Alligator mississippiensis: one gene and its partners. The protein of the gene in region 4 interacts with the protein of the main gene of each other region in a pairwise test. Links are inferred from orthologs where the notes say so. Each region holds a gene or a part of one and is shown on either strand. Other genes may lie near its edges. The genes, in order: AKIRIN2, PRPS1, FAM114A1 and SPG21.

The links.
Region 1: the proteins of SPG21 (region 4) and AKIRIN2 interact in binary tests that used the Homo sapiens proteins (3 or more experiments, as listed by UniProt). The two-hybrid records come from large-scale screens. The link is inferred for Alligator mississippiensis from reciprocal best matches to the Homo sapiens genes SPG21 and AKIRIN2.
Region 2: the proteins of SPG21 (region 4) and PRPS1 interact in binary tests that used the Homo sapiens proteins (3 or more experiments, as listed by UniProt). The two-hybrid records come from large-scale screens. The link is inferred for Alligator mississippiensis from reciprocal best matches to the Homo sapiens genes SPG21 and PRPS1.
Region 3: the proteins of SPG21 (region 4) and FAM114A1 interact in binary tests that used the Homo sapiens proteins (3 or more experiments, as listed by UniProt). The two-hybrid records come from large-scale screens. The link is inferred for Alligator mississippiensis from reciprocal best matches to the Homo sapiens genes SPG21 and FAM114A1.

The regions. Positions count from the first base shown.
Region 1 is NC_081824.1:75,631,413-75,639,248, forward strand, and holds the start of AKIRIN2 (akirin-2), read right to left. Parts: upstream 3,534-7,836; 5' UTR 3,345-3,533; coding exon 3,131-3,344; intron 1-3,130. Other genes in the region: uncharacterized protein LOC106738238, read left to right, coding at 3,612-4,013. UniProt on the Homo sapiens protein: Molecular adapter that acts as a bridge between a variety of multiprotein complexes, and which is involved in embryonic development, immunity, myogenesis and brain development.
Region 2 is NC_081831.1:42,100,384-42,108,511, forward strand, and holds the start of PRPS1 (ribose-phosphate pyrophosphokinase 1), read left to right. Parts: upstream 1-4,554; 5' UTR 4,555-4,713; coding exon 4,714-4,835; intron 4,836-8,128. UniProt on the Homo sapiens protein: Catalyzes the synthesis of phosphoribosylpyrophosphate (PRPP) that is essential for nucleotide synthesis.
Region 3 is NC_081825.1:50,197,064-50,205,292, forward strand, and holds the start of FAM114A1 (protein NOXP20), read left to right. Parts: upstream 1-4,661; 5' UTR 4,662-4,676; coding exon 4,677-4,833; intron 4,834-7,942; coding exon 7,943-8,229. UniProt on the Homo sapiens protein: May play a role in neuronal cell development.
Region 4 is NC_081834.1:6,523,301-6,531,113, forward strand, and holds the start of SPG21 (maspardin), read left to right. Parts: upstream 1-4,391; 5' UTR 4,392-4,497; intron 4,498-4,753; exon of another isoform or gene 4,754-5,029; intron 5,030-7,044; 5' UTR 7,045-7,122; intron 7,123-7,347; 5' UTR 7,348-7,373; coding exon 7,374-7,436; intron 7,437-7,813. UniProt on the Homo sapiens protein: May play a role as a negative regulatory factor in CD4-dependent T-cell activation.

The DNA of each region.
Region 1 (7,836 bases), on a different chromosome or scaffold from region 4:
ATTTATAGTTTACTACCCAGAATGCATTTTTCTTTTCAGTAAAGAAACTAAATGTAAAGCCATGCTGATGCGTTCCACTGAGGAAAACTTCCACTTTCCACAATCTGTATTTGCTGAACAGATCTATAACTTGGTTTTCAGATTTCAAGGGAACTGGTATAAGATACAGGAAACTGCCACAGGACACTTGGGCCTAAACCCTGTCCCACCAACATGTACTTATAGACCCACCCACTAACCTGTTTGAAGTATCACAATAAAATGTGAATTTTTAATTCATATTGTATAGAGGTACCCTGAAGATACTGGGATGTGATTATTTATGATTATTTTACCATGTAATTATTTTCCTATATAATCCCAGCCTTTCAAACTAAATTCATACAAAGCACTCACTTCTCACTAACTATATGTACACAAAATAGGGGTACCACATCAAATCTTAATTAGAAAATATGCAACAAAATTGCTAGCAAGTATAAAAATTCTCTCTCCAACTCAAAAAGGGGGAAATATTTTAATAAAATTAAGAAACAAATACATATACTGATTGGACAAAGGTAAATCTTTGTTTAAGCCTCTCTAACAATTTCTTTTAGATACAAAATATTTATGGTATGCAGCAATGACTCAGTCATACAAACCCACATAAAGAATCCGTAAGTAGTGTAGATGAGAAATCCACAAGGCAGAACAGCTGCCAAATCCACCAAGACACTAAAAGCAACCTAAGAGCTGTCCAAATAACCATAAAATATTCAAACACTCTTGTTAAACTGAAATTTCATTTTGATTTGAAGTCTTCCCTCTCCCAAACGGGCATATCATTTATTTGCCTAAGTTTTATATTTAAATTAAGACAGCTGGTATCTAATCTGCACTCCTGTAAACCCAGTGCCCATTCAAATCTATACATTCTGTTTTCAGATAGCATTTGTTTCTGAAGAGACTAGCTAGTATTAAAATATTGAGGGGGTCCACATTCTCCACTAAGAATAGAAGTCACACAGTAGGAAGACTGAGAACAGCAGATAAAAGAAAATGAAATAAACTGCTGCACTAAGGACTATCTAGGAGTATAGAAATAACAAATTATTGTATACGCAGAACTTATTAATGTTAATAGAAATATTTTCATGAAATAAAATAACAAATTCTCTTCAAGTGCTGAAGACTTGCACATAGGTATTTTATATAGGAAACTTAAGTGGAATCAACTAAATTCAAGCCTTGTGAATAAACTACTACTAATGCGGTGTAAAAATTAAAAACGAGCTTTTAAGATTGAATTAGTTTGTTTAAAGCCCAATGAATTATACAGGTATAGATACTATGATTGTTTCTAAAAGCGACTTTTTAAAAGGACAGGGTCTCACTGGAAACATAATCAAGTAAAATGAGGGTAACAATGTCTTTCGTGAAAGAACACATGACTAAATTTAATTTGAAGTATAAAACTTGCTAAATCCCAATATTCACAGTTAGCACTCAATAGATATGCAACAAAAAAGTTCTCATTATGACAGTGCTAGTACTAACAGCTTATGTCAGAGCACACTATTTGCATAAATCCAATTTAAACCAGGCAAGTTGTTTAAGGCTATTCAGCAACCTGAAGGAACATCTGATTCACTACACCTTATCTTTTGCCATTATGAAATAATAATTCACAAAGCCAGCATACAATTGCTCATCTCAGTTTCGTTTTCTGAACAGATCAAACTACACCTCAGCAGAATATCTTAATTTAGGATGCAGTAGTGTAAAAAGCAAATAGTTTAAAAGGCTACCACTGACACTCATTTCTTCAGAGAAATAAAGCCGATGTGCTGCTACAAAATCCAGGATTTAATAATTCATACCCTCACAGAGCTCTATACTATTTTAGACCGTGCCAAATCAAAAACATGAAATGGCTCATTTCTCATCTTGTAAATCAAAGATGATATTTTGAGTACTTTTCAACTAGTTTATGGATGCAAATATCCACAAATGATGCTGACCAGACAAGGAGGCACAGAAATAGGAAAAGGCTCACACATTTCCCCTCTGCTAACCAGAGGTTACCTTTGACACTCCCCCTTAACTACTTCATAAATTTGCCTGTGGGCTGATGTGTTTTTTTGTCATTATTGGATTTCCTCCCTTCCCTTAAAATTTAAGCTATCCTTCTTCCCCACAAGGTAACCCAAGGCCAACAGATGCTGAACATTGCTGCTAATAATACACTGTTGTCTGTAAAGACCTATGAAGGCTACTGCCAATGCACTGCCTCCCCATTGCTAATGTCTGACAGCTACATTCATCACCCCCTTTTGAGCAAAGCGTATTAGTCACAGCACTGTACAGTAACAGCGTTTCTCCTCCTCCTCCTCAACCACACCGGTGCCAAAACCCTCCATGTCCACTTCCCACTGTAAAACCTTCCTATTTTAAGCAAGAATGCCTCTTTTTAAAAGGGCAAGGTGAACTGAGCTCTTCCTAAAGAGAGAAAGAAAGAGAGAGATACACACATCCAGCTATGGTAATTGTCTTATTGTATCAGCCTGTGTCATCCTTCCCCAATAGAATCGCTGCCTGATGCTGACTCATGCAAAATCCTTTCCCAACCTTTTTTTTTTTTTTTAAAGTACAGGACAGCCACGGGGTCAAATGCAAGAAAATGCCTTTTTCCCTGCCCTCTCCCAGGCTGCCTTCAGCTCCACCGCTGCGGGCATTTCCTATACAGCTCTGCCCTCAAGCAGGGCCCAGGCTTTCAGGAGCCGCAGCGAGCTGGGACCCAGGAGGTGGCTAACAAAGGCGGTGACATCCGGCTGGAGCGAGGGGGCCGGGCCCCGGGACAAGGGCGCGGAGACGCCGGGAGCAGCCGGGCGAGACCCCCTCCCTGCCCGCGGGTTTCGCTGCCCCCTCGGCGAAGCCCCGGGGGGGCCCGGCTTTGTTGTCCCCGCCTTGCCTCTGCCCCCCCCCCCCCACATAATGGCCGCGACCCACGGGCGGGCCCGCCCTGCCCCCCTCCCCCGCCCACGGCGCTTCCGCACCCCCGGCCGCCCATTGTGTCCCCGCCGCGGGGGGCAAAGAAAATGGCCGCCCCCCTCCTCTCCCCTCCCCCCCTGGCCGGGCCGGGCCGCACCTGTGGTGAGGCGGGACGACACGTCTCCGAAGGGCGAGGGCTCCATGCGCAGGTATTTCTGCGGGGAGGCGGCGGCGAAGGAGGCGGCGGCTGAGGCCGACGCGGCGGCGGCGGCGGGGGCCGCCAGGGGGGCGCAGCGCCGCCGCTTCGGGGAGGCTGGGCTCAGCAGTGGGTCGAAATCCAGAGTTCGTTTCAAGGTGGCGCCGCACGCCATGGCCGGGCCGGGTCCGGGGCGCGGGGCGGCGGGGCCCTGCCCGGGAGCGCCTTCCCGGCCGGGGGGGCTGCGCGGGGCGGGGGGCGGCTCGGGCCGGGCGCTGCGTGCGGGGAGCCCGCGCCGCCCGCGCTCAATTCAGCCGGTAGGCGGTGGCGGGGGTGCGGCTGGGCCGGCGCGGCGTCGCGGGACTGCGCGGCGGGGCCTGGCGCGGCCGATGAAGAGCGATGGCGGCGGCGCTCCCGTCTATGACTCTCCCGCACCAGCAATATGGCGTCAATAACAACGCCGCCGATTCAAAAAGCACCCTACGCCACTGCGCCTGCGCAGCCGGGGCGGTGGCCGCCGCGCAGCCTTACGGGACTTGGGGTTTTCTGGACCCCGCCCGCGGGCGCCCCGGACGGCCGGACGGACTACAAGTCCCGGCGGCCCCCGCGCGCTGCCGCCCCGACTTCCGGGGTAGCGTTTAAATCCCCAGCGAGGCTGCGGGTGAAAGGACAGGAGAAGGGGGGAGGGGCTGCCTTCCTGGGACATGGCGCTGCGGGCGGGCGGGGCTCGGTCCCGGGGGAGGCACAGCCGGGGCCGGTGCTGGGGCCCGGCCTGGCCACAGCCCCTGGCACACACATACCATCAGGAGTGGATGAGCCAACAGGCCCCCGGTCTGCAACCCTGGTACTAGTAATAAAATTGTTGTTAATAATGATGATTATAATATATAAGTGTAATACACAGTGTATAATATGATGATTATACAAAGTTAATCATAATGTTGCAGACAGCAGCGGAGCATTGCAGCCCGTGTGGATTTAAATCTCCCTGGTGCCCCAATGCCCTTGTGGATTTAAATCCCACCCCCCCACCCCCCGTTTTATGCCTGCTCTGTCAGTGGGCAGGCTGCTTTCCGGACCCAGTCCCTCTGGGACGCAAAAGCTACGGCCAGTTTGGCCTCTGCACCAGCAGGCCTCTGGACAATCTGGGACTCAACACAAGTGAAGGGCTGGTCCGCTGCTGGAAAAGGCCTGGCTAGGAGTGTAGTACCCTCCAGATGATCCAGCGGTGCTCTCACCAGGGAGCTTTGTTCTCACCATGAAGACACCAGGCCTTCTGCTTCCTGAGCATCCAAACCAATGTCGTGAGCCAGTGCCCTGCAAAATGGGGAAAAAGAAAAAGACAGCGGCTACTTAACTGTCTAAGGTCAATTGTCTTATTTCACTAGGGCTGAGAGAGAGAATGGAGGCATGCTAGGCTATGTCCTTGGGAAATTAGCAAAGCTTTCAGAGATGGAAAAGCATTCCTAATAGCAACCACTTGTGTCTAGATTTGATCAGGTTTAAAAAAAAAAAAGTTTTGAGCAAATAGGTTTCAAATGATGAGTGGAATAAAGCTTGAGTCCTTCCAGAACCTCAGTTGGCAGTGACTTTTAGTTATGCAGGCCGAGGTTACCTGATACGTGCACTCACCAAACCGTGACAGGATCATAGCAATTGTAATATACATCTGACGACCATGCTGACCCTGAGTTTGCAGGGTTCCTACCACAATGGGACCAGCCTTGGTTGGATGTTTTTGCATACTGTAATAAAAAGAAATATTTAATAATCGGTGTTCTCTTTGACTGATTGCATGGACAAAGCTATGAATTACTAGAGTAGGCTTTCTCTAACCATGTACAGCCAGAGGAGAATTTCTTTTTTCTGAAGACATTCTTTTTTTCCTGAGGCTGGCTTTGACAAACCCCATTTTTAAACCATGACAAATTCTGATTTTGTAAAACTCTCCGCAAACTGGGGTATACATACCCCTGGGCATATATGGAAAGCTTTTACAAGGTCCAGCTCTTCCTGTGGACACTCTTATTTTACACATTAGAAACATTGAATAATAGCGTTCATAGCAAGTGCTATACTTGCGTGACCATAATAGTATACCAGTAATTATGCTCGTGCTGTGATACCAGATAATTTCCCCATTCAGACAAGCCTTCACACAGGACTTAATCAAATTTAAAAAACTCTATAACCCAAGAACACCAAAACATAGCTTTCTTATGGTGATGGCTCTAAATCAGAGAAATCTTGTCATCTGTCAATATATTTTATATGTCCATCCAGTTTAGGTTAGTCTACATCTATACAGAGTCAAGACAGCCAACTCAATCTTCCTCTATGTTCTGAGAGACTTGTCCACATTTGGACAGCTATTTGAAGTCTCACAATAATTTATATCCTTTAATTTACATTTGGAACTATTATACCTTGTCTTTCTGAGCCAAAAAGCATCTTGTCAACTGAACTAGCTCAGTCCATTTAGCTGAACACAAATCCCCACACCTTACCAGCCACATAAGACACAATTTAACTCCATTGACATAATCTGAGGAGGGTGAAGAAATTTAGTCAAGAAAAACTAATACAACTAAAGTGGAGCTTTTTTGGCTTATGCAGGCAGGGCTGTAGTTAGAAGGAACAGCGAGCTAACTTAACACTTTGGCTATACACAAATGTGCACTGGTTTTAGTTTAGCTAAAGCAATAACATCTTTTTAAACAACCTTTAGCATCAATTTAAATTTGAAGTTATATCTTAAGCTAAACAAGAGAGATGTTGAATGTAGATAAGCCCCAAGGCAGAAAATTATCCAGTAACAGTGAATTGGTTGGTTGTAGTTTAATTATGGTGGAAAATACCTTGGAGTTAGGGCTCTGAACCACTGCTTATATTATTGTTCTTTCATTGCTTTGTTTGTTACAAAAACAAATCTCATTGTACAATAATATATTACGTATTTTATGGTCTTATATATTTACATGTAGAACCCACTAATTTTCTTAACACTGAGCGTAGAGTTGAACAACCTGTTCAAAACTGAAGCCGCAAAATTGTGTCTTTATTAGGTCTGTACTTAAATAACAGTATCTATTGAAAAAGCTACAGTCAAGATGTAGCACAGTGTTTTAATATTGTGTAGTTTTGGAAAACCTGGGGAAATAGTGTATTATATTTAAACAATGGTAACTTGGTTATCAAGCACCCTGAGTGTAAATCTTCTTAGACATTATACTCTTTCCTGTTTTTCCCAAATTTTTCTTTTCTCATTCTGTCCTCCCTTTGTTCAGCTGCCTCAAACTCTATCTAATTTCCTTCCTCCTCTCTTTTTTTTTCTTTTTCCTGCCCTCTTCTCATGCTCTTTGCATCTTCTGTTGGTCTTCACCTATTTCATCTCTGTGTGACTTAGCTCATTCCACACAAGGTTCACATCATCATCCTTCTACTTTAACACACTTTCTGATGGCTGCCCACTTCAGAAGAGGTGTACTGTCTCCAGCATCTCCACCTCCCAACCAGGGAACCTTTGAAGGGTCGAGAGATCCACACCATACAGTGACAATACTAGGCAGTCTTTTCACTGTCTCTGCTGCACAGATTCATAACTTCCAGAATGAGTAGGCCATATGTTCTAAGCCACATTGGCTGCTTCTTTCCCTGGCTTAGGTAGACTCAAGTTAGGTACTGGGTGTGTTGTTCTATGCCAGATTGCCATTAGGTATACTTTGTGATTTTTCTAGACCTGCGGTTGGCAATGTTTTTCAGCAATGGACCAGAATGACCAAGCTCGGGTTGAAGGCAGGCTGGTGCTCGTACCCAGCCAGCACTGCTGCCACTTGTCCCCACTGCCCAACAATGGCGCAGCATAGCTGAAGTGTCAGGCTGCAGCACAATACAGCATTGCATGGGCAAAGCCCCTCACCACAGAATCCCATTGAAGCCTCCCACTGCTGAATATTGCCGAAGCCCCCACTCCATGATCTGGATCCAATGGCCCTGTAGGCCAGATCTGGTCCATGGACCAGAGGTTGCTGACCTTTTTATTAGACAGAGAAAATACAATATATCTAATCTGGATAGAAGTAAGTAATTGATAAGATGCCACAGGGGAAATTATCAGTTAAAATAAAAAGATGGGTTTTAGTGTGAGACTTGTCAAGTGGGTAAGGAACTGCCTGAAAGAGAGGTGAAAATGGGACCCCTGAGTATTAGAGTAATAGAAATGGGATAAAATTAAATTAAAGGAAGTTTGCCTTTATCTAGGAGCCCCTCTACATGTTTACATTTATGCTGCAATTAAAGTGTTAATTGTGATATAAATGATAAGGGTGCATATTAAAATGGCAAATGAGCCATAAAAATATTTCACATATATTTAGAACATTTTCATGGCTGGTTTGCATGGTGCCTTAAATTGAATGTGTGGCATGTCCAGGGCTGCCCCAGGGCCAGGGCAAGCAATCAGTTGATTGTACAATCCTGGCTTTGAGGTCTTGAACTGGCCCATGTGGTCCTGGGGCCAGGGCCAACAACCAGCTGATGGTCAACCCTGGCCCAGGACTACACTGGCTCACACCAGGCTGCAGGCATCTGGCTTTCAACTAGCTGGTGCAGGGCAAGACCAGGATCATGATCCCAGTCTCCCCCTGCACCAGCAAGCAGAGGAGGCA
Region 2 (8,128 bases), on a different chromosome or scaffold from region 4:
TACTCCACAGTAACTAATAGGGTGTAAATTTTATACCTGTATGATGCAGGTATCAAATTTACATTCAAGTTGTTGAAAGTCACCATATTTACTGTGCAGTACGGGCATACACGTGTAGATGTGCGCCTGTACTATTTGGTAATTTCGGTTACTAGGCAGTAAATGTGCACAAGTAGATGCGCCTACTCAGGTACAGATCTATAGCCACGATCAATTTCTGTCTCCATTCAGGTCTCCTCTGTGGGGAAGTCATTCCTTCTCCCAGCTGCAATCAGATCAGACTCCTCCACAATCTCCCTGGAGCCTCTTTCTCAAGTCAGGGAGTAACTCCTCTCTTTTTCTCAGTCCATCCCAGCCCTGGGGAAAAATGCCTCCCTTTTTTCAGCTCCTTTCTCCTCCCCACCCTTCCTGCAACCCCTCCCCATATTCTCATTTTCATGGGCTTTTGGTAAGCCCTGCGCATTACTCCTCCCATTGGTAGTATTCTTGCATCATCCTGCCAGTTCCCAAAGCAGATTGGGAAACATAGTTCAATTCCACTCCAGGGCTCTGGTTTTCCTGGACTTTGAGTAGCCCAACCTCTCTCTGCTGACCCCTCACAACCCAGAGGGGTTACACTGGAGCTGATTTGGGCTCCACATTTTAGAAAGGATATGGCAAAGTTAGAGATGGTGCAGAGGCAACAAAGATGATCAAGGCTTGGAAGGCCAGTCATAAGAGGAGAGGCTGAAAGAGCTAGTCATGTTCAATTTCCAGAAAGGCCCTGTGGTGACAAGAAGCCCCCCAGGTATCAAGGGGGCTGGGGAAAACCCCAAGAGCCCCCACGGGGAACACACAGACCCCCCCCCCCACCTCAGGGAACTCACCTTTCTTAGCGCAGCCAGAGCTGGAACTGGAGCCACAGCCGCGCGAGCTGGCATTACACTGGCTCTTTAAACAGCTGTTCCCAAGGCGGGGAAACCCTGGGCTGTGGGAAGTTCATGGAAGCTGGCAGGTGGGGTGGAGAGAAGGAGAAAGCCAGCAGGGAGCACGTCGGGCAGGCAGAGACTCCAGTGGCTGGCAGGAGTGTTGCCACAGGCGCTGCACCTGTACCTGGAGCAGGGGGAGCAGCGTCTCTGCATTAGGCAGGGGGATGATTGGTCCCTGCCCACCTGCATTCAGGAATTCATAAGAGTGCCTCTCTCTCTCTCAAGGAGAGAGAGAGACAAGAGAGATAACAGGAGCCCAGCCCTCTGGCATCAGGGTCTGGGGCTCCAGATGCCTTGACATCCTGGCAACTGAATGGCACCAAAGCTGAAACCGAACCCCCCCTAGTAAAAGGGGTTCACAGGGAATGGTGGAAACAATGATACTAACACCCAAAGCAGTCAGTGAGGGGATAGGATGTAGGGGAGGCAGAGCCCCGAGGAACACCACGGTGCAAATGTTGAGTACCTCTGTCACCGGGTCACCCGAGAAGAGGAATACCACTGAATCTCCTCCTTTCACAACAAGTCATGGCAGGAGAGTTGCGGGGAGCTCCGGTAAAGGGGGACGGTACGGTACTCACCCCGCCCACTAGAGGCACCACAGGCCCTTAAGAGGGGACATAGCCGTCTTAAAATACTTGAAGGGCTGCCTTGTAGGACAAGGAAAACACCTTTTATCCCTTGCTGCAGAGAGGAGGATGCAGACCAATAGCTTGAAGTTGCAGCAAAGTCAGTGTAGATTGGATATCTGGAAAAAACTTCTTCACTGTTAGAACAGTGAGGCAGTAGAGTAGATGCCCAGGGAAGTTGTGGACTCCCCATCACTGGATGTGTTCAAGAAGGGGTTGGACAGCCGCTGCTTGGGGATGATCTAGGTGTAGCTATGCCTATGTTCTACCATGGGTATTTGCCAGGCTTCTGGTCTTTGCTGATTGTCCCCTGCACCACCTTTTCTGCTACATGTGTCAGGGTGTTTTTAAGCCTTCCAGAGGCACTGGGTGTTGGCTACAGCCAAAGGCTGGGACTTCAACTGGGATGTGCCAATGCCAGGGCCAAATTACCCCTTTAGTGGGCCCTAGGCAAACAAACTCATGGACCCCGGGCCAGTCAAGACCCCCCTTCCCACCCCGACGCTGCCGCCTGCGGGGAGTGGGGCTTGCAGCCACCGCTAGGAAGCAGCCACCACTGCAGCCAGGCTGGCAGAGGGAAAGGGAAAGGAAGGGAAGAGAGGCAGACAGGCCATTCGCATCGCCAATGCAGAGCAAAGGACTGGGACCCCATGCAGCTCAGGGCCCTAGGCATGTGCCTAGTTTGCCTATGCGTTAATCCAGCCCTGGCCAATGGTCCTGCTGGGACCAAACCAGAGGTTCCTGGCTAGAGGATTTTGCTCCTCCACTCAAATCTAGTCAGCATCTTTGGTTTCAGAAAGGAATTTTAGCCCATGGTCAGATAAAGGAACAAATTGGGGGGGGTTTCTGCCTTTGTCCTTAGTGGGGGGACATGGCCCTCTACCCGGGGTCTCTTAAGCACATACTGACATTTTATAGAAGCAGGACATTGGCTGCTGTGGTTCCCCTGCTTTACCTGTGTCAGGCTAGGGTGCTGGGTTCATGTTGTGGCAGGGTTGATGGTTGTCTTATATAGAATTTAGATTATGGTTGTATGGGATGGTTGGGATAGGGATGATCCTGCCTCATGCAGCGGGCTGGACTAGATGACTTCTGGCAGTCCCTTCCAGCCCCACTTCTCCATGACTACGATTTTACATAATTTAGTCCAATAAAAGCTATCACAAAACATAATCCTCATTTCTTTTACATACCCTGGACTGGCACAGCTCCAGCACCCCAGTCCTGCCATTTGGTTAGTTGGACATTGGCAGCTAGACAACTCCTACATGTCAGCTGGCAGCAAAAGTTGATTGGGAAAAAAAATTGCAAATGGTTTGACTTTGCTTAGTTTGTTTCAGCGGCTCCTCTGTCGCACTAGCTTCCACAAACACCTGTGTTCCCGCCCAGGGCTGCTGTTACAGCCCTGGGTTCAGCCAGGCTGGCAGCTGTGGAGGCCATCGGCTGGTGCCACATGTGCATGAAGCCAAGCTCATTTAAGAGGAGTTTAAGGAAGGAGCCAATTGCTCCTGTTGCCTGACCGTGACTTCTGCCACACGGCTGAGCCAAAAGGGGCCAGGGCTGGGCTGCAGCACTGGGCATTGCCATCACCAATTTGCAGCCCACGAATGCCACACACCCCTGGAGGCTGCAAGGGGCACGGCAAGCTCCCGCAGGCAGTGGCAGCACTGTTGGTGGTAGGAGCGTGGTTGTGACAAGCAGGGAGCTTCCGCAGGTGGCCACGGCGCTGTCAGCGGCAGGGGGAGGGGGTGGCGAGCACCAACCAGTGGTTGGCAACCACTCGCAGACGCCACTGGCAGTGTCAGCCGCGAGGGGGAGGGGAGAAGTGATGAGCAACGACCACCCACAGGCACCGCTGGCAGTGTCTGCAGTGCCTTTTTGTAGGGGGTGCACCAACACGCTCAGGGGTGCACATGCACCCGCGTGCACCCCCTACACATTGCCAATGGTGCAGGCCCCCCGCCTCTTCCCACCAGACAAGGCAGGCTACAGTGCGGCTGCAGCGGGACGTGCATCCCACACTGAGCACAATGGCACTGACCCCGGGTGCCCGAGCGGCAAGTGGCTGCTGGATACACACCTGGAGCCAGCCTTGCCAGGTCTTAAATATGAAATGACAGTGTTATTGGAAGCTCAAAATTACCGTATTTACTGAAAAACTATCATAAACTGAAAACACATACAAATAAGTGTTTTTATTTACTCTGTATTGCTCAGTGTAACTCCCAGTGAGTGAGTGAGAACTGGGTCTCGAAGTGGAAGCGTTTATTTCAGGGCAAGAATAAAAAAAGAGGTGACAGCAAATGCAAAAGCAAGTTAAGATTCTTTGAGAGCGGCTTGGGTTTTGCATATGCCGCATCAATTAACTGCCTCAAAAAAAAATCCTGTTTTCTGAACGCTTCTACTATTATTGATCCTATACCGTGCAAGGGTTGAAATTATTGTACAAATACGAAGATTACTGTATGCCTCGGCGCGGGGCGGCGGCTTCCTAGTGGTGCTTCCGTCTCACTCCCCGCCGCTGAGGAGCCGCGCGAACGGAGACTGCCCTTGGCCCGGCGCTGCCCCCTCCTGGCCGCCCCGCCTGGATTCGGCCCTGGTTCGGTCCCGCCCCCACATGCCGGAACGAGGCTCGCAGCTGCCCAATAGCGGGGCTCGCTGGCAGCCAATCGTTGCCCGCTCCTTCCCGCGCAGCCTACACGTGCCGCCGGATAGAGACGGGGAGACAGTGCTAGCGTATCCTCCCCACAGCCAATCCGCGAGCCCAGACCCCATCCCTCGTCCGCGGCGGCCGCGGGGCGCGAGTTTGAGGCAGACGCTCAAGCCCCGCCTACTTGGATCCCCGCCCAATTCGATAGCGTCCCCTTCGGCCTGAGCCCGCCTCTTGAAGCCGCACGGCCAATGGGGAGCGGGCGGAGGGGCGCGGAAGCAGGCCCGGGAAGTGATAAAGGGGGGGGCGGCGCAGCCGGCGGGAAGGGCTAAAATGGCGGCGTAGGCACGCGCTGGCTCAGTGTGCAGTTGCATTCCCCCGAGCGGCGAGCAGGCGGCGGCTGGAGCCTGGAACCGGAGCCGGCCCCCGCCCCCGCGTGCGGCAGCGGGAGGGTGAGGCCGGCGCCATGCCCAACATCAAGATCTTCAGTGGCAGCTCGCACCAGGACCTGTCCCAGAAGATCGCCGACCGCCTGGGCCTGGAGCTGGGCAAGGTGGTCACTAAGAAGTTCAGCAACCAGGAGACGTGGTGAGCCGCGGGGTGGCGCGGACTGCAGCTCCCAGCCAGGGCGGCACGGGGCCATGTGCGCGGGGCGGGGCCGCGGGCCCTGGGCCTCGCCCGGATTGTGCCTGTGGCCAGTGCCGGCGTCCCAGTGGCGGACCCGCTCCGGGATGGCGCTGGGCACGGGGGGGGGGCAGGCCTGGTTCCTGGCCCGTCGCGGTGTTTGGGGCGGGGTGAGGAGTGTTAACGGCCCGAGCTGTGGCCGCATTGGGCCCGCGAGCCGGAACTGGAGCAGCCCTGGATGATGCAGTTGTGGCGACTAGCAGTGCCCCGTTGGTCGCCAGCCTCTTCTGCCACCGTCCAAATCCTGGTGGCTTCCCTGTTCTGAGTTAGGGGTTGAGGACAGAGAGAGACGGGGGCAGGTCCTCCCTCCCCTGGCTGTGGGGCGGCAGGTGGTGAAACGCTGGCAGCTGCTGCTTCAAAGAATCTTGCTGCGTGGGAGCTGGTAACTAAATCCCCAGGGAAGAGGCTTCTGAAGAAGGTGAAGCATGAGGGTTGTGGCGCATCATGTATAGTTAGATTGGACTGGGGTGGAGGCCATGGGTCTGCAGCCATGAACCTCTCTCCTCACTTCAGCTACAAAAGACAGGCCTGTTCTGATATGCTTACAGGAGCATGTCAGGATGTTTTGCTAGTCCCAGGGTTAATCTGAAAGCCAGGCATTTGTTCAGTGGTTTTAACATTTCAATAAAGCACTCTGCCTTCTAGCTGTTACTATAACAAGTTTCAAAAAAGTGTGAACAGCCCTGTTGGAAGTTTGCTACTTGGTCGTAAAATAAGTATTGCAGAGAAAAAATGAGGTGAGCTTCCTCCATGGGTTTAATGGCATCTTGGCTAACCATCCTGAAGCCACAGATTCAGGGAAAGTTGTTGGGCCCGTCCCCATCCCCTGATCCCTCTTTGCTTCTTAGGACAATGCAGTTGTTTTTCACCATTTTGGGGTTCCCTCTGTGGGGACACAGACCATCAATGTGATGGTAGTCTTTGCCAACCTGGGTCTCCCTTTTCCCAGCAGAGTTTGGAATCCAAGTTTTACCTGCCTCTTCCCCACCCCCCACTGCACTGTGCCACAGTGTTGCACCACATGCCACTCTGCTGATTCACTGTGTGCCCAGGCACCTTTCCTTGCTGCAGCATGTGTCCTGACTCGCCCATCACTCCTCAGCCATGGGCTCCCCCACTGCTCATGTCACTCAGGCAACCTTGGCATGCAGACTCTCATGCTGTACCATCTTGTGCCTTTGGGCACAGAGGGGAAGCCTGGATCCTCTGCTGCAGCTGGAACAATAGGGGGAGCAGTACCTGGGAGCCCAAAGGCTGCAGTTTGGAGAGCCCTGACTATAACAAAGAGGATATCATCCAGTATCCTACTACCAAGATTTCAGAACCAGTTTGGTTCATAATGTCTTGGATTACAGATAGGATAATGGGAATTCATCAAGTGGATTTTTTTACCCACTTAAAGTAAAAAATCCAAGGCAAGCAGTCTGTTTGCCTGCTTGCCAGTATACCAACTAAGGGTTCACCCTGTGAACTGAATGTGGGCAGTTCATTTTCAGTTGCTAAATGCCTTAAAGTTCTTTATTTTTAAAAGCCTGGACTATTGACAATGAAAAATTGAAACTTTATTCTAGAGAATCCAAGCTTTTAAAACAGATTTGTGCTGACACTTAAAGCTTTCTGGTCATTTAGCAGCCCGTGAAAACAGTTTGAGGAAGTTTGCATCTCTTTGGTGCCTATTTGTACCATGAGACATGCAGTTCCTAGTAATTTCTTATATATATTCTCTATCATCTCCATCTTGCTGGAAGAAGCCAGGCCTAAGTTTGGGGAACCGGGTTTACACGGTTAACTTGCCATGATAAAAAGCTTGGTTTGGAACAGTAGGAAATCACTGTGTTGCTTTTCTCTGCGTAGCCTGTTCACATGACAATAATTACCGTGTTCAGCAACTACTTCTTCCTATGGATAGAATCCTCCTGTCCATGGGACTGCAGTAATACTACATCAGGAAAAACATTGCATATGTTTCCGTTGCATAAATATATGCTGTAATTGAAAACCCAATGAGTAGGGCAAAATGGTTTAGATAAGACTTGCAAAGGAGTCTGTTTACTAAACTACAGCTGATGTCATTACAGTGACCTTACAACCATTCATCATGCACTTTTATCCATCCAGCTGGCTGGTCAGACTCTTAATGTTAGCAAATAATGCTGAACATGCAAGAGCTAACACTGATCCTGTTCCTTCCTTGGCTGTAATGCGAAGGTTTACTTGGAAAGGCAAGATTAGGTACTTAGTCAATACTTCCTTGGGCTTTACCAAAAAAAATCCCACGACTTATCCTGATTTTAAAGTTTACAGCAATAAAAGTGTCTTAGGTTAATTCCACGCTAGAAACTTTGGCCTGTGTAGCAGTCTTGAGTGTGATTGTTGTTGTCATTTCTGTATTGATAAAAGTGCTAGTGTATATAACTATAGTGACACAGAGAGTCCTTTTACTGGTTTAACTTATTCTTTTGGGGGAATCTGGATAACTTCTATTGGCAAAATCACTTATTTGCTGCTATAAATGCTCTTGTGTAGCTCTATCAACCAAACCCTTGGTGCAAGATCGGCATTAAAAGCAGACAGTTTGGGGATCGGTGAGGGAGATGGACAGAAAAATTAATTTCTGTTAAAATAATCTCCCCCAGTCTCTAAAATGAAACTGATATCAGCACAAGTTGCATGATCTTGCTGCTCTTTATCCATTAGTGGTAACCTATGCTAGGGCAGCCAAACAGCAAAGACACCTCTAGAACATTGGTATTTCAAGATGATGAGAGAAGTCAGCCCATTTCCTCCTCCACCCATGCTACATGTTTGGAACTTTGGTGATGATAAGGCTGGCTTGTCCTCTAAACTGAGCCCTGTCAGAGTTTCCATTCGTTAATCTGTTGCTACAAAGACCTGGCCCCACACTTCAGGTTTTATGTAGGGGCTACTGCTTTATTTCCCACAGTGTTGCTGGTGCAGGTCTCCCCATTAATGTCTCTAAAGCTGTTGTTCATTCCTGACAGAAGGCAAGGTAGTCTTATACCTTAAAGACTAACCAAAGTAGAGGTAAGTACAGATGAGTACAGCCCAAGCTTTTGTTGTGAAAGGACATGCAGAGAGCCGAGTATAAGGAGAGCGCAATTATAGTACAAAAGACATGAGTGGGGAGAGGGAACATGGGGGCAGTGCTGGGAGAGACAGCAAACAAGCAGTAAACC
Region 3 (8,229 bases), on a different chromosome or scaffold from region 4:
TAAGGCCACATTGGACACGGGGTGCTCCCACTCCCTACTTCGGGCAGACCTCGCTCCGCAGAGGGAATGGAAGAGTGAGGGGCCCCTGACGATGACCTGCATACTAGGGGGGGAGATGCGGTTCCAGACTTGCTATGTTCCGCTTAGGGTGATGGAGTTTAGCGGAGAGTTGCGGGTTGGAATTGCCCCGACCCTGGCGTGTGAGATGATACTAGGCCGAGAATGGGGGCCATTCTATACAGTCCTCGAGCGAGTGAGGGCTATGCAAGAGGAGAGGAACCGGATCAAGAGGGGAGACGGATGGGCCGGCGAGGGCCCAGCCCGTCGCAACGAGACAATGGCAGACGGCATCGACCTAGAACAATTCGTGAGCGCGGCCCAATTTCTTAGGGCACAACATGAGGACCCGGAACTGCAGTGGATGTGGGACGCTGATCCCGGGGAAGGACCCTCACAGAGGCGTCCCCGCTTCGAGGTAACAGGGGGACTATTATATCGGGTCCACCGGGGTGAGGAGGGTACCATACGGGGGAGACAGTTAGTGGTCCCGTCCTCACTTCGCCAAGTGGTGTGGAGATTGGCCCATGACTCACCCCTGGGTGGCCATCTGGGACGTAACAAGACCCGGGCGAGGCTGGCCCAAGAATTCTTTTGGCCTCGTCTCCAAGAGGACGTGGAAAGGTGGGGGGCCGCATGCCCCGAGTGTCAGAGGGCCCAGGAATGGAAGCCCCCAAGGGCACCCCTGAAGCCCATGCCAATAGCAGAGACACCGTTCTTGCGGGTCGCCCTGGATATAGTAGGACCCCTCCCCAGGTCACATAACGGATACCAATATATCCTGGTGATGGTAGATTATGCCACCTGTTTCCCAGACGCCGTGCCCCTTAGGTCCATAACCGCCACTCGAGTAGCGGAAGAACTTCTTAAGTGGATAGCGCGGGTGGGCATACCTCGGGAAATACTCACAGACCAGGGAACAAACTTTATGTCTGGGGTAATGAAAGCTTTATGTAAGACCCTTGGCATCACCCAGCTAAAGACCTTGGTCTACCACCCCCAAACTAATGGTTTGGTAGAAAGGTTAAATGGGACCAGCAAGCGGATGCTCAGGCGGTGCGCCCAGGAAGACCCGCGGAGGTGGGATACTATCTTGACACCCTTGCTGTTCGCCATAAGGGACGCTCCGCAAGAGTCAACCCAGTACTCTCCGTTTCAGTTGGTGTATGGCCATAGCCCTCGGGGACTGCTACAAATCGTAAGGGAAGAATGGGAAAAGCCAATAGGCTTGGGGGTGTCGGCGGAGAGGTACCGGGAAGAGCTACAAGACCGAATCTCCATGGCCCAACGGATCTCCAGGCGAAACCTGAGGGACGCCCAAGGCATACAGGAAAAGCGTTAGAAGGCGAAAACACGGACTTTCCAGTCGGGGGACAAAGTTTTGGTATCGCTGCCAACTTCCTCCAGCAAACAGCTGGCCATGTGGCAGGGGCTATTTACCGTGGTGAGACAAGTAGGACCCGTGGATTACGAATTACTTAAACCAGGCCACCGCCGGGAACGACAGATTTACCACGTGAATCTGCTCAAGAAGTGGAAAACTCCTCAGGGCTGGTTGGCCCTAGACGGGGATACAAAGGAGGACCTGGGACCGCCGTGTCCCTGGTTAGGGAGACCCGGGGAGGAGGGGTCAGTACAAATGGGCAAGGAGTTGGGCAATCACCAACAGCGAGAATTAGTAGCTCTGATAGAGGAATTTAGGGCAGTGTTCCAAGAGATCCTGGGACGAGTAACGGGAGTAGAACATGAAATCAGGACACCTCAGGGAGCACTGGTGAGGGAGAGATGGAGGCCGATACCTCAGCGGTGGCAACGGGAAATACAGCAAGAGATCATGAGAATGCAAGAACAAGGGATTATACGACCGTCCCGCAGTCCATGGCGGAGCCCCATAGTCCCCGTCGTCAAACCGGACGGGTCATTGCGCATATGCATAGACTACAGGAAGCTCAATGCCCTGACTACGTTTGATGCCTTTCCGATGCCCCATGTCACTCACCTCATGGAGAAAATCGGTGAAGCACAGTATATAACCACGCTTGATTTGGCAAAGGGATATTGGCAGATCCCGATGCGCCCCATGGATTGTGCCAAAACAGTCTTCGGGACCCCGTGGTCCAGAACAGCCTTCTCTGACCAGAGAAATCCAGGGCAGCCTAAGGGCCAAAAGGGGAGCACATAAAAAGTGGAAACAGGGTGAGATCACTAAAGATGAATATACCTCCTCTGCTCGTGCTTGTAGGGAGGCAGTTAGGCGGGCCAAAGCTACCATGGAGCTGAGGATGGCAACCCAAGTAAAGGACAACAAGAAATTGTTTTTTAGATATATTGGGAGTAAAAGGAAGGCCCAGGGAGGAATAGGACCGCTGCTAAATGGGCAGAAACAATTGGTGACAGATAGGGGGGACAAGGCTAAACTCCTCAACGAGTTCTTTGCCTCAGTGTTCCTAAGTGAGGGGCACGACAAGTCTCTCACTGGGGTTGTAGAGAGGCAGCAGCAAGGCGCCAGACTTCCATGCGTAGATCCTGAGGTGGTGCAGAGTCACTTGGAAGAACTGGATGCCTTTAAGTCGGCAGGCCCGGATGGGCTCCATCCGAGGGTGCTGAAGGCACTGGCCGACATCATTGCAGAGCCACTGGCGAGAATGTTCGAACGCTCGTGGTGCATGGGCCAAGTCCCAGAAGACTGGAAAAGGGCTAACGTGGTCCCCATTTTCAAAAAGGGGAGGAAGGAGGACCCGGGCAACTATAGGCCTGTCAGTCTCACCTCCATCCTTGGTAAAGTCTTTGAAAAAATTATCAAGGCTCACATTTGTGAGAGCCCGGCAGGGCAAATTACGCTGAGGGGAAACCAGCATGGGTTTGTGGCGGGCAGATTGTGCCTGACCAACCTAGTCTCTTTCTATGACCAGGTTACGAAACGCCTGGACACAGGAGGAGGGGTGGATGTCGTATACTTAGACTTCAGGAAGGCCTTCGATACGGTATCCCACCCCATACTGGTGAACAAGTTAAGAGGCTGTGATGTGGATGACTGCACAGTCCGGTGGGTGGCAAATTGGCTAGAGGGTCGCACCCAAAGAGTCGTGGTAGATGGGTCGGTCTCGACCTGGAAGGGTGTGGGCAGTGGGGTCCCACAGGGTTCAGTCCTTGGACCGATACTCTTTAATGTCTTCATCAGCGACTTGGACGTGGGAGTGAAATGTACTCTGTCCAAGTTTGCAGATGACACAAAGCTATGGGGAGAAGTGGACACGCCGGAGGGCAGGGAACAGCTGCAAGCAGACCTGGATAGGTTGCACAAGTGGGCAGAAAACAACAGGATGCAGTTCAACAAGGAGAAATGCAAAGTGCTGCACCTAGGGAGGAAAAATGTCCAGCACACCTACAGCCTAGGGAATGACCTGCTGGGTGGCACAGAGGTGGAAAGGGATCTTGGAGTCCTAGTGGACTCCAAGATGAACATGAGCCGGCAGTGTGACGAAGCCATCAGAAAAGCCAATGGCACTTTATCGTGCATCAGCAGATGCATGACGAATAGGTCCAGGGAGGTGATACTTCCCCTCTATAGGGCGTTGGTCAGACCGCAGTTGGAGTACTGCGTGCAATTCTGGGCACCACACTTCAAGAAGGATGCGGATAACCTGGAGAGGGTCCAGAGAAGGGCAACTCGTATGGTCAAGGGCCTGCAGACCAAGCCCTACGAGGAGAGACTAGAGAAACTGGATCTTTTCAGCCTCCGCAAGAGAAGGTTGAGAGGCAACCTTGTGGCTGCCTATAAGTTCATCACGGGGGCACAGAAGGGAATTGGTGAGGATTTATTCACCAAGGCGCCCCCGGGGGTTACAAGAAACAATGGCCACAAGCTAGCAGAGAGCAGATTTAGACTGGACATTAGGAAGAACTTCTTCACTGTTCGAGTGGCCAAGGTCTGGAACGGGCTCCCAAGGGAGGTGGTGCTCTCCCCTACCCTGGGGGTCTTCAAGAGGAGGTTAGACGAGTATCTAGCTGGGGTCATCTAGACCCAGCACTCTTTCCTGCTTATGCAGGGGGTCGGACTTGATGATCTATTGAGGTCCCTTCCAACCCTAACATCTATGAATCTATGTGGGGCCTATTCGAATTCACGTGGATGCCCTTTGGCCTCAGCAGAGCAGCTGTGACGTTCCAGAGGTTGATGGACAACCTGTTGGCACTGCACGCAGCGTACGCGGCGGCGTACATTGATGACAACTTTATATTTTCCGCCAGCTCGCAACAACACCTCCAAGACCTCAGAGCAGTCCTGGGAGAACTCCGAACAGCAGGGCTGACCGCCAACCCGAAGAAATGTAAACTACATTTAAAAGAAACAGCATACCTAGGATTTCGAGTAGGCCGAGGGACAGTGCGGCCACTCACAGATAAGATTGAGGTTATAAGGCAGTTCCAGGAACCGCGAACCCGCAAACAACTGCGTTCCTTCTTGGGACTCGTTAACTATTATCAGCGATTTATACCCTGCTTCGCAACGCTCGCCACACCACTTACAGACGCGTTGGCTGGGAGATCCGTAACGCCACTGAAATGGACACTGGGGATGCGAAAGAGCTTCCAGAGTTTGAAAGAAGCAATGCGCCATGACATTGTCGTGCACACGCCTAACTTTAACGCCCCTTTCGTTTTACAGACGGATGCATCAGGACGGGCGCTGGGAGCAGTGTTACTCCAGAAACACGGGCAGGAGGAGCACGCAATTGCCTTTGCCAGCAGGAAACTCAGCCAGGCAGAAACCAGGTATGCCACCATCGAGAGGGAATGCCTGGCAATACGCTGGGCAATAGAATACTTTAAGTACTACCTGATGGGGAGGGAATTCGTGGTAGTAACAGACCACGCACCACTACAGTGGTTGACACAGAAACAGAGCATGAACACCAGGATCACCCGCTGGGCTTTGGCATTACAGCTATTCAAGTTCACGGTGATACACCGTCCTGGCAGAGATAACTTTGTGGCTGACTTCTTGTCCAGGTGGGGAGGCGCAGACAACGCAGAGGAAGGTACGGGCCACATCCACAGGGAGGAGCAGCAGGTGACACATGCTGTCACGAGAGAAAATCAGCCACCACAAGGCAACTTAAGAGGGGAGGACTGTGGCGGCGAAGTGCCCCCACAGGCTAGTGAGGGAGAGAAGGGGGGACCCACAGACCCCAGACCCCGAGAGCAAGCCCCCAGAGGGGCATACGTACCGGCTGAGGAGCAGCGGGAGGAAGAGCCGCATTCGCGGCTGCCATTACGCCGGCTCTGGCAACAGCTGTTCCCGGCACAGCGAACAGCTGAGCCAATCTCAGCGGCCGTAGCGGCCGCTGTGGGAAGGTTTAAAAATGCCGGCAGGACAGGGAGAGAGGGGGAGCCAGGGAGAGAGAGTACGGGTGTGCTGCCCGTGCTGCGGGCTCTCGCATGGAGCGGAGAGGACCCAGCCTGCGGGTCTCAAGCAGGCAGCTTAGACAAGAGCTGGAAGCCTTTCGCAAACAGCAGAGCGAAAGGCAGTCAGAGAGTGCAAGCCGAGGCAATCTCTCTGCATCCTGAAGCGGCTGACGCTCAGGAGGCAGGGGAGCGCTCTGCTGACGGTAGGAGAGGGGAGACAGCAGAGGCTCCAGGAGGGAGCTGGAACCAGGGGGAGCACCCACCAGCTCCCCCTAATTCAGAGGAGTATTTTCTGTAAGAGAGGAGAAAGGAGAAATCCCTCCCAGCAGGAGGGAGGACGACCGGGAACCGGTGAACCAGTCAGAGGCCATCATACTGGGCCTGGAAACATCTGGAACGCATCGCCCAGCAGTTGGCGTGTGGACGGGGTGTAGGGGAGGCGGAGCCCCATGGATCACCACGGCCGACAACCGTGAGTAACACTGTCTATCGGGAGGCCCCACCCAGGATAAAGACCTCCACTGTAGACCCCTCTGAAGGTAATTGATTACATCCAAGTCGTGGCAGGCGAGTTGAGGGGAGGGGCAACACCCCGATAGGGCAGGTGGAGCGAGGCACAGGCTCCACACCATCACTGATGGTATAACACACAGCTCACTTTTGGTTCCATACAAAAATTACTTGGTGAAATGTTATGAGTTAGACTCACTAGATAAAGGTGGCCCCTTTTCTCTGTAAAATCAACACATATATTCTATCTGCCTTCTTCCTGATTGTGTTCTCATCACAACTCAGTTGTTTTGTGCAACTGCTCGTCAGCTCTGGACCTCCCTCCATCTTCAGGTCTTCCAGAGGCCAAGCCTGAATATCTTTTGGAAGCACTGCATGACCTTCCTACTTGGGCTGGCTTTTACTAAACAAAACTAGGATAAGATGTTGTTCAGAGGGTGTCTGTTTTATCCTAGATCCCTTTTAAGTTGTTTTGGTCTTCATGTTACTCGCCTGTTTCTAAGTTATTGTTTGCTTATTTTAAGGTGCCTTGAGCCTTTGTTGGGAAGGGTGGTATATAAAAATTAAATAAATAATCCTTGTCAAGGAAAACAGAGACTGCCATACTCTAGTCACATCACATATGCCTCTGCATAGTTAATAAAGATTATAGTAGCAAATGAAGGAGGAACTTAATTTTAAGTTAACCAGTGTGTTTATTGTCTTTCCTGTGTCTGTCTCATGTTTTAAATTCTGAATAATTTTTGTGGATTTTTTTTACCTTTAAACTTAGTTTTCAATGTACAACAATCTCTTGTGCTTACTAGGCCTGATTCTGATTTCATTCCTGTGGGGCTAGCGTGGGCATCTCTGGCAATGTGTGTGTGGTGCTATGGTGAATTTTTGCTTCTTGGACTCCAGTCTGCTCTGTAGATTGGACCTGTCTACAACAGAAATTAGAGTAGACTTGTGACTAATTGTACTTAGGCAGCGCAACTCTGGCTGGCTGTCTAGAATACAGACTTGTCTGGGCAATCTCCCTCTCAACTCTGCTCCCTAAGCATTCTTAAAGAGAGCAAAAAGCTGTATAGAGTGCTTTTTAAGGAAAATTTACCTCAAGGGTCAACTTAGGGCCCATTTACAACTGATGCCGTAATGTAAAGATCCTTCACAAGTGCAGGAACTGGCCTTTAGTTCTGGTTTTCATCACCATGAGTAAAATCAAAATCAGACCCACTGCAAAAGGGATTTTGCTAGACCTGAGAGTCGTCAAGGTACTTTTAAGAATGGATTTGCATAGACAGTTTTACAAATCAAAATACGTTTTATAGCAAATATGAATATTCAAGTAATATTTGAAAATGCTTGACAGAAATATGTAATAGTATCATGGTTCAAAGTTAAAATAAAAAAGATAGGAAAAGAGAAAAGCCATATTTTCAGATGAGATTGAAAAAATTATGGAGTGCAGGTGAGGTAGGCAGGTCCTAAAAACAGTGTTCCAGGTGGCAAGGGTTACAGAGATGTTTTTTCCCCACTTAAATTGGTGAAATAATGGGATAAGACCCAGTGGATACTGATGCTAAACAAGGAGGAAGATGAGAAGGAAAGAAAAAAAGATGTGTTTGATCTATGGAGCATGCTAAATCTACAAGACTTCTTTGGAAATAGTCGGGGTTCAACGATCTATACTGACCTTGCCCACCTTATCTCTTGTTGACAGTAATTGGCATTCCATCAATGCCAACTATGGATGGGGGGCTATAACTGGCCCTCAGAAATGAACCTTCATGATTTCTGTAGATAAAACATGTATATTTGTAATATACACTTACATTGTCTCTCATTTAATTCTTACCATGCTGCATACCTGCAAGCATTGGTGAGTAAAGCTGCTTTTTAGAATGGTTCTGTATCATTTAAGTGTTTCTGGAATTTGTAATAACTGAGTAGTTAATTTATATATCTGTGCTATTTTTTTAAACAGAAATAAAAATGTCTGGTGACACAAGTGATGCAGTACCCACCAAAGGAAAACCTGAAGTAATAGAAATGCCTAGTAGTGATGTGTTGCCTGATGATGAAGCACTACATCATGAAGTGACCGGGATACTGCATGGGTCTTCACAAGATGGAGAAAAACAATCTTTCCATAATACCGCTAATGGACAGGAAGGAGACCCAACTATCACTGAGCATCCTTTGACTGAGGAAGTGAAAAATCAACCTTCTAGCACAGACGTGACTGAGAATGTAGCCGCTGACTGTAGCGAA
Region 4 (7,813 bases):
GGTGTTTAAAGCGACCCCCCACGAGGCCCCCGCCCGGGGGAAGATGGCGGAGGGGCCGCAGCCCTGGGGGGGGCGAGGCCGAGCCCCGCGGGAGGCGCTGAGCGGCCGCGGGGCGGTTACCTCTGTGCGCCGAGGGCAGCGAGGAGCCGAGCAGCCGCGCGGCAGCGGCGCAGGTGCTACAGCCGGACATGGCGCCGGCGGCCCGCGGCCCCGCCGCACTAGGCCCGTCCAGTAAACACCTCCCGTCGCCTCGCCCAGCCCTCTGTGGCGTCACGAACCTCACGTCCCGTCCCCTCAGAACTACAACTCCCGGCAGGCTCCGCGCGGGGCCCCGCGCCCGCCGGCCGCTTGGCCCTGCGCGCGAAGCCTTCTGGGGCGCGTAGGCGCCGTGGCAGGGAGAGGATAGGCGCGGGGCATGGCGGGCCACCGGGATCGCTGCATGCCGGGAGTTGTGGGCCGCTGGACGGGAGCGCGCGAGGGTCAAACGTGTGCGCGGGGAGAAGCGCTGATAGTGGTCGCGAGAGGTGACTCAGCGCTTGCAGCCTCCACGTGGCCGAGCGGGCACAGCGCTGAGTCAGCCCCAAGCTGTGCGTGCGCTGAGCCCCGCACTTGGTTTGCTGCTGGGTGACAAAGAACTTCCTCGTGTTAGCTTTAGGCGTACAACCTACTAGTTTTATTGTGCGACCCCAAGTTTTTGTGTTGTGAGAATAAATATTAAGTCCCTATTTCATTTCCCTTCACCGTTTAGGTTTTTTTTTTTACGGGTTTCCCTCGCCAACCACGATTTTGAGTACCCACACTTAATATTATATTATATATATATATATATATATATATATATATATATATATACACACACCATTTTGGCTAGCACAGTATTTCAAGTAACCACGGTTTTTCGTGGCTGTGGCTGCCATTTTTCCCATGCGCTTTTTGTCTTGCCAACCAGGGGGAACTTTCAGGAACCTGACCCCAGCGGTTGGCGAGGGAAACCTGTACACTTTTATCATGTCCCCCCTTTTCTAAACTGAATAGGCCTGGCCTCTTTACTCTCTTCTCATCCAGAAGCCCCTCCATACCACTGATCATCCTGATTATAGGCAACACGCAAGGGGGCACAGGTGGGCATGTGCCCCCCGACCCTGAGATTGACCACTGCCAGCTTCTGTCATTCATGATCCTGATTGCCAAACTTCCCTGGACCCTCTCCAGTTCTATATTCTTTCTGAGATGTGGGGACCAGAACTGGTCAGTGTTCAGTTGATTCACTTCTTCAACATACATAATAACCATGACTTTCCCAGCCTGGTGAATCTGCAGCCTGGACACTAATGGTTTCTTATGACAAAATTAATTTGTGTCATGCACTTGGTCCAATAGAAGATCTCTTCCACAAGAATCCTTACCCCACAGCAGTGACCATTGACTGTCAGTGCAAGCTACTAGTGACTGCTTGAGGCACTGCAGACCACGGTTGAGGGAAAAAATTGGTACAAAATGAAGCTGCAAAGGAAGCCAGCTCCTGCCAAGCTTGGGAAAAAAAGTTAAAAAATAACAAAATCACCGCAACCCAGTGTTAACAACGGCAGCTGATGAAGTGAGCTCAGTCCCACAAAAGCTCAGGCTACACATCTCTGATTGAGTTACTCCTTAGCTCTATTCTGCCTTCTGCCTAACACTAGAACAGAACATTTCTGAGAAGAGATCCAAAATCAAAACATAGCAGTTCCCTTCAGAAACACCATTACAACCCTATTGCCATCATTCTGCTGGCTTGAACAACTTAACTGTGGTGGCTTGGTTCATTTTTTTGTTGTGTAACGTTCTTCTACAGTTGTTTGTTCTGTATTTGATTGAAAAAAAATATTTTGAATTTTGAATGACATGGCATACATAATCCCCCTTTCTGGATGCTTCCCTGAGATATAAGCAAGAGATCTAATAGTGCTAACATGTAATATCCAAATAGAAGACTTGCAATCAAGAAAAGGCAGAGATCTTAGCTTCAGCCTTATTTATTCTACCTAAACAGTTCAACATGGATGTGTCAATGACCTGGTAACTCTACTAGAGCGATTTTCAAGCTGAAAGCTTATATGACCTTTTAGAGAGGTAAAATCACCCTTCCTGATCCTCCTCACTACTCTCCTGTGCATGGATCGAAGAATACAAAGTTCTTTGGGTAAATGTGATATATTTTAATAGACAAACTAAATAGTTGTAAAAATTGTTCCCTGCAAGCTTTCAGGCACAAACACCTCTCTTCAGGCATAAGGAAAGTCTGCTGGTGTTGTGTGCTCCTAGGTGTCTTAGAAAAGATATGTCATTGTTGAGTCTGGCTTCTTTAAACCTGTCAGCTATTACATTATAGCAGATGCTTACATTGAGTTGCTTGTCCACTATAACCCTTAAAATCTTAGAGCCTTTTCAGGGATGTTGCATTGAAGGATACATCTCCCTATTTCGTAGCTATGACCATTTTCCTTGACATATAACAGGGTATTACGGAATATATTTTTTACACAGGCCCAGCTCACCAAACAGTGCAGAGGTCCTCAGTAGAAAAGCTACCAGTGTGATGTCTGAAGAGAGAATTTGTATGAAATGCATCATATAAGCCAGGACCCCAATGCAGTGACCATTTGCACATGTGAATAGCATATATACAATGAGCAGTACTGTTGAAGTCAGTAGGACAACTGTTGTGTGAAAAGTTCAGCAAGTGTATCAGCGTTCAAGAGATCGCAGACTTCAGTTTTATCATACTGCATTTGTGATTTTTTCCCCCTGGTAGGTGACAGTAACAGCTCATTACTTTTCCTTTCCATACACAGAACAAGAACCCGAACAAAACAAACCCCTTCAAGAAACAGTTTTCAAAACTTGTATTAGCAATAAGCTATTTTGGTTTACAAACTTAGATCCAAATATTCCCTTTAGGGGCATGGGTAAGTTCAAAATGATATGTGCATGGAGCAGGGAAAAGGCGACATAACACTATTTTATTACTCTTTTCAGTCCTGTAATCTCCAAAGTATGATCTCATTTTATTTGAGGCTTTCTACATGTGTAGCCATGGCTGAGGGAAGAGTTGTTCTCTGTAGACACCTCTTTTCTTGACATTAAATACTTTTCAACAGTATTCAACTGTGTTTTTTTTTAAAACAGAGAGCAGTTCTCCAGATAGAGCCATCTGGTGGGTTTATGCCACAACAGCTGCACATACACTTGCTCTATAAAATTAGTCAATGACATTTTTTTTCCCTGGTCCTGGCCATTCCTGGTGGAGAATGTAAATCCACTGTCCACTTTCCAAGCACAACTGCCTCCAAATTAAACCAGTCTGCCATCTCAGTTCTGTAGTTTTGAACTATGCAGCCATCCAATATCAGATAAGGTGACTGGAGCCAGCTCACACCAGGACAGATACGGCCTATGGACCAGCCAAAATTCACTGAAAAACATCAAGTTCTACTCATCACGATCTAAACCCTAATGGCCAGCTTGCAAACGAGAAAAACATAACTTTCATCAGCTTCTTTTGTAAAAATTGAACCAACAAACCCGTGGCATCAAGCGGGCAGATACCTCCATTGACAATACTAGAGCTGCAAGTCTGCACCGGAGAGCAGAGTTTGGCCCTTGAATTTTAGCACAGCGGTTCTCCACCTTTTCAGACTCGAGATCCCCCTCCAGAGGCTCAAAGCCTCCCACAGAAAATGCCAGCTCTTAGCTTTCACTCGTTTGACTACAGAAAAACAAGAGCCATTGCCCTGTTGCAAAGAATCAAGAAACCCCGCAACTGGTCAGGATGGTTAACGCTGGATCCCCGCGTGCAAACAGCATTTCTCTCGTGAATCGTGACCTAGCAGCGCTAACGGTCTGTGGCGCCCCGAGGCACCCCGGGAAGGATCTCAAGGCACCCGACGGTGAGCCGCCGTTCGACCACGTGCGTCCCGCTGTCGCCCCCCAGCAATGAACTTTAGCCAGGGGGTAAAATGCCGCTGGAAAGGGGCAGGCTTTCAAGGACGCTCTCTGGAGGCCTCACGCTGCTTGGCGGTCTCCCACAACCCCAGCTCTCCGAGTCCTGTTAGCACTACGAAGACCAGACTTCATTTTCTTTAAAAAAACCCAACAGCCTGAGCATACTGAGAAACCCTGGGCACACCCTGAAGGCTCAGACGCCAGGAAAAGAGAGGAAGGAGCCCCACACCACTCTCGTGATGTACCTTCATGATGCTCCACCTGCAACAGCCACACCTGCGCATGCGCCTCGCCCCAGTCCCGTGCGCATGCGCACTCTCCCCCCTCCTGGGCTGTGCCTCAGTAACAATGGCGGCCCGGCGCCTCGCCCCGCCCCTGCGCGTGGTCACGTGGCCGGCGCGTGGCTCCGCGGGAAGGCGGTACCCGGAAGTCGCGGCTGGAGGCGCAGGCAGCGCGGTCCGGAGCGGAGCGCTCCTCCCCTCCCCCCACTCCCTCCTCCGTGAGGGGGAGCCGGTACGGCGGCATGGGGGTTGGGCAAGGTGGGGGATGGGCATGGGCTGGCGGGGCACTGGGCCCGGGGCTGGGCCGAGGGCTGCCTAGGCGCTGTCTCCCGTCTGTGGGGACGCGGGCACAGGCTGGGCAGGGGTAGCGTGGGGGGTCTGTGCTGCCCGCGCGCCCGTGTAATTTCTGTCGTGGCTTGTGGGACCTAGACAAAGAGCCAGTGTTTTCCTTAAATTGGTTTTTAAAACTTGTTTGGTTTTTTTTAAAGACGTGCGTGGCACCATCCTGGACAGCTCCCTGCGTTATGTTCCCTGCCTTTGAATGAGCTGGGAAATCGGATAACCAGCAAAGTGTCGTGGTTAAGCTTTCATGGTGATGGTTATTCACCTAGGAGGCTTTTAACGTTGCGTTTCTGCGGAGACTTGCCTGCGCCGCCGCCGCTGCGCAGGAGCCTCGCAGGAATTGAATTTCCTATCGCCGACGTTGTTTTGTAGCGGTGCACAGAGACGAATAGGAAGGAGCGCGAGCACGGAGCAAAATAGCTGTAAGATGGGAGCACGAGTCAAGGGGCAGTGGTTTGCGGTGTGTGGTAGTTGCCGTCTGGGTTTGGTTCGTATTAGGTAGCTCTCTGCTTCAGACAAACCACAGCTAATGCCAATTAGGGTTTTTGGTAACGATCTTGGTAGGAGCCCAAGGTTTAAAGGTGTGGAGACTGTTTCTTTTGAGTCTTATAAGGGGCCCCTGCAGGTTGGTGTTCAGGTACATTGGTGAGACCATGAGGATGGTAAAGAAAAATGCTTGTTCCAGTCCTGTTCTCTAGAATAACTCCGTCTCTAAGGTTGCCAATTAATGCCTTGCACTTAAATTAATGGCACTAATACAACCACTGGCAGCAAGAGAAGGGAGAGCGGAGAAGAGCTGGAATTGGCTCTCAATCCTGTGATGAATGAAACCATTTCTTTAGCGCGCAGTCCTGTCATCGAGCTAAACGGATGCTTCCTTACATTTCTCTAAAGAATTTGCTTATGTGCTCGCACAGTGGGACCCAGATCCTGACTTGGGCTTCTGGCCACAGCTATATAATAAATTAAAATACAGTGTGAAGCATACACTGCTCTTGCATTAAGGTGTCCGTGTGTGTTTTGCTTGCTTTCGCAATTTCTGCAGCATATTATTGCAGCGTTGTTTCCAAAAATGTTTGTTTTTTGCGTAGTGGCTAATCCAGACTTATGCAGGGGATTTAGTAGAACAAATTGCTCTCTTCTTTTTGCCTAATGACCAGCTGTCCTCCCGTTCCAGTAATATTGTGAGCCTGCTTCACTCGCCAGTCTGTTGGCTGGAGGCGGTGTTTGCTCTCCACTAACTTTTATGCGCTGCCAGGCTAGCACAAGTGGTAAAATACTTGACGCAAGCAGGAACTTATCCAAAATTGAAATACCAGTCAACCCAGTAGGGTGAGATTCTCACCCAATCTGGAAATATTTGTGATGTGGTGAAAATGAAATACTTTTTGCAGTTTGGAAAATAGTAGGTAAGAGGCATGTACTTCATGTTTCTAGTAAGTGTTTCTTCACTGTTTGTTCCATCTGTTTATAAACTAGCAAACTGGGATTGAATTCAAAAGAGCTGTATCTTAATTGCTTTTTTTGTATAGTGGTGGGAACAGATGAGGTGAATTTCCTTCATTTAGGGTCTTGTCTACAGAGAGAAATTGAGTGGAATATATGACAATTCTGATTAGAAATGAGAGTCAGTACCCATTTAATTATATCTGAATATTTGATTAAAAGAGCAAACACCTTATTTTCTTATGCTCTGTACACTGTGAAATTAAATGAATCTCTGGGGCAGAATTTCCCTTTCAAGCAACAGGTTACAAGCAGTCAGAATATAGCCCCAGTTTTAAGAATTATCCAGTGTTATTTGGTATACAAATAAAAGTGCTTAATCTATCAGTGCCATGGCGTTTCACTAGGCTAGTCTTGATTTCATTATTGCAAACAAATTGTGTCCTATATAGAACATGAAACCTCAATATATGGGTAATTTTGTTAATGCTTCTTTGTCTGGGGGGAATTGGCTGTAGTGGGAATAGTCCATCTACAATAGCTATTTCAGAATAAAGCTCCGTGTGTGGACACTTCTGGAATAAACTCTGTTTTAATTTTAGAATTATTACTTTGGCTGGGAAAACAGTTATTTTTCTGGAATAATTTTTTTTTTGGAATAAGTACACTAATTATGTGGAACAACTGTTGGATGTTGCTGTTTTGGTCGGCTTCTCTGTGAAGAGATGCCCTGAAGCTTTGACTGTTCTGTAGAACAGGTATCGAGTAATATGGAGGTAGTGTTGAAGCTTGCTTTCAAGAAATGCTTATGTTAGTTACAGTTGAATTAGAGCATGTGTCCTATATACTTGAATAATTGGAGGGCAAGGCATGAAATACGTGGGCATTTATAGCCCCTTTTCTGAACTGTTTAAAGTTGAATAGAAGCAATGATAAAAATGTCCACTTTTTAAAACAAGTTAAACCCTGAAATACTATCTTTCCCTTTCAGGAGCTGCTCCATTGGAATGGTCTGTAAGGAAAAGCTGCCTTTTTATCCCCGAAAGCTCCATCAGTTCATAATTAGAGGGTTAGTATATTAAAACATTCTAGTGATTGTATCTTCTGAATACCTTTTAAGTAGCTTCTAATTAAAACTAAGGATAACCAAACTTGACATGCATTAGAAACCAGCTGATAAGAGGTAAAAGCAAATTTCATCATGAAAGGACTCTTTGTATATACAAGGCTTCAGTGTAGTGGCTTAGTGCGAACCTGCATTCTTTGCCTAAAAGATGCCATATCTTTGTTTCAGGTTTACCTAAGTTTCATCTAAACATCATGGGAGAGATTAAAGTCTCTCCTGACTATAACTGGTTCAGAAGTACAGTTCCTCTTAAAAAGGTAGGTACAATTTAAATAATTTGTTATGAAATAGAGCCTTATTTCACAAGGACCGTGCTGTGCAGTACTGAGAACTGTCTAAGCCAGTGGTAGCAATGTTTTGGAGCTGTGAGCTGGAACAACTCGACTCCGGTTTGGATCTGTCTCACAGACCCCTGCAGAGTGCATCTTTGCTGGAACTCCAGTGACTGCTTTACATGACTTGCAGACGGTCATGTCTACTGACATGACCCATGTTACCATCTTGCCTGGTATGGCGCTTTTATTTTTGACACAACTCTTTTTAAAGTAATCTCTACTGGGTTCCTGGTGCCATCTGAGCTTTGGCAGTCTGCTGGAGAGCTGTGCTTGTCAGCACTTCTGGCAGGTCATTTTTG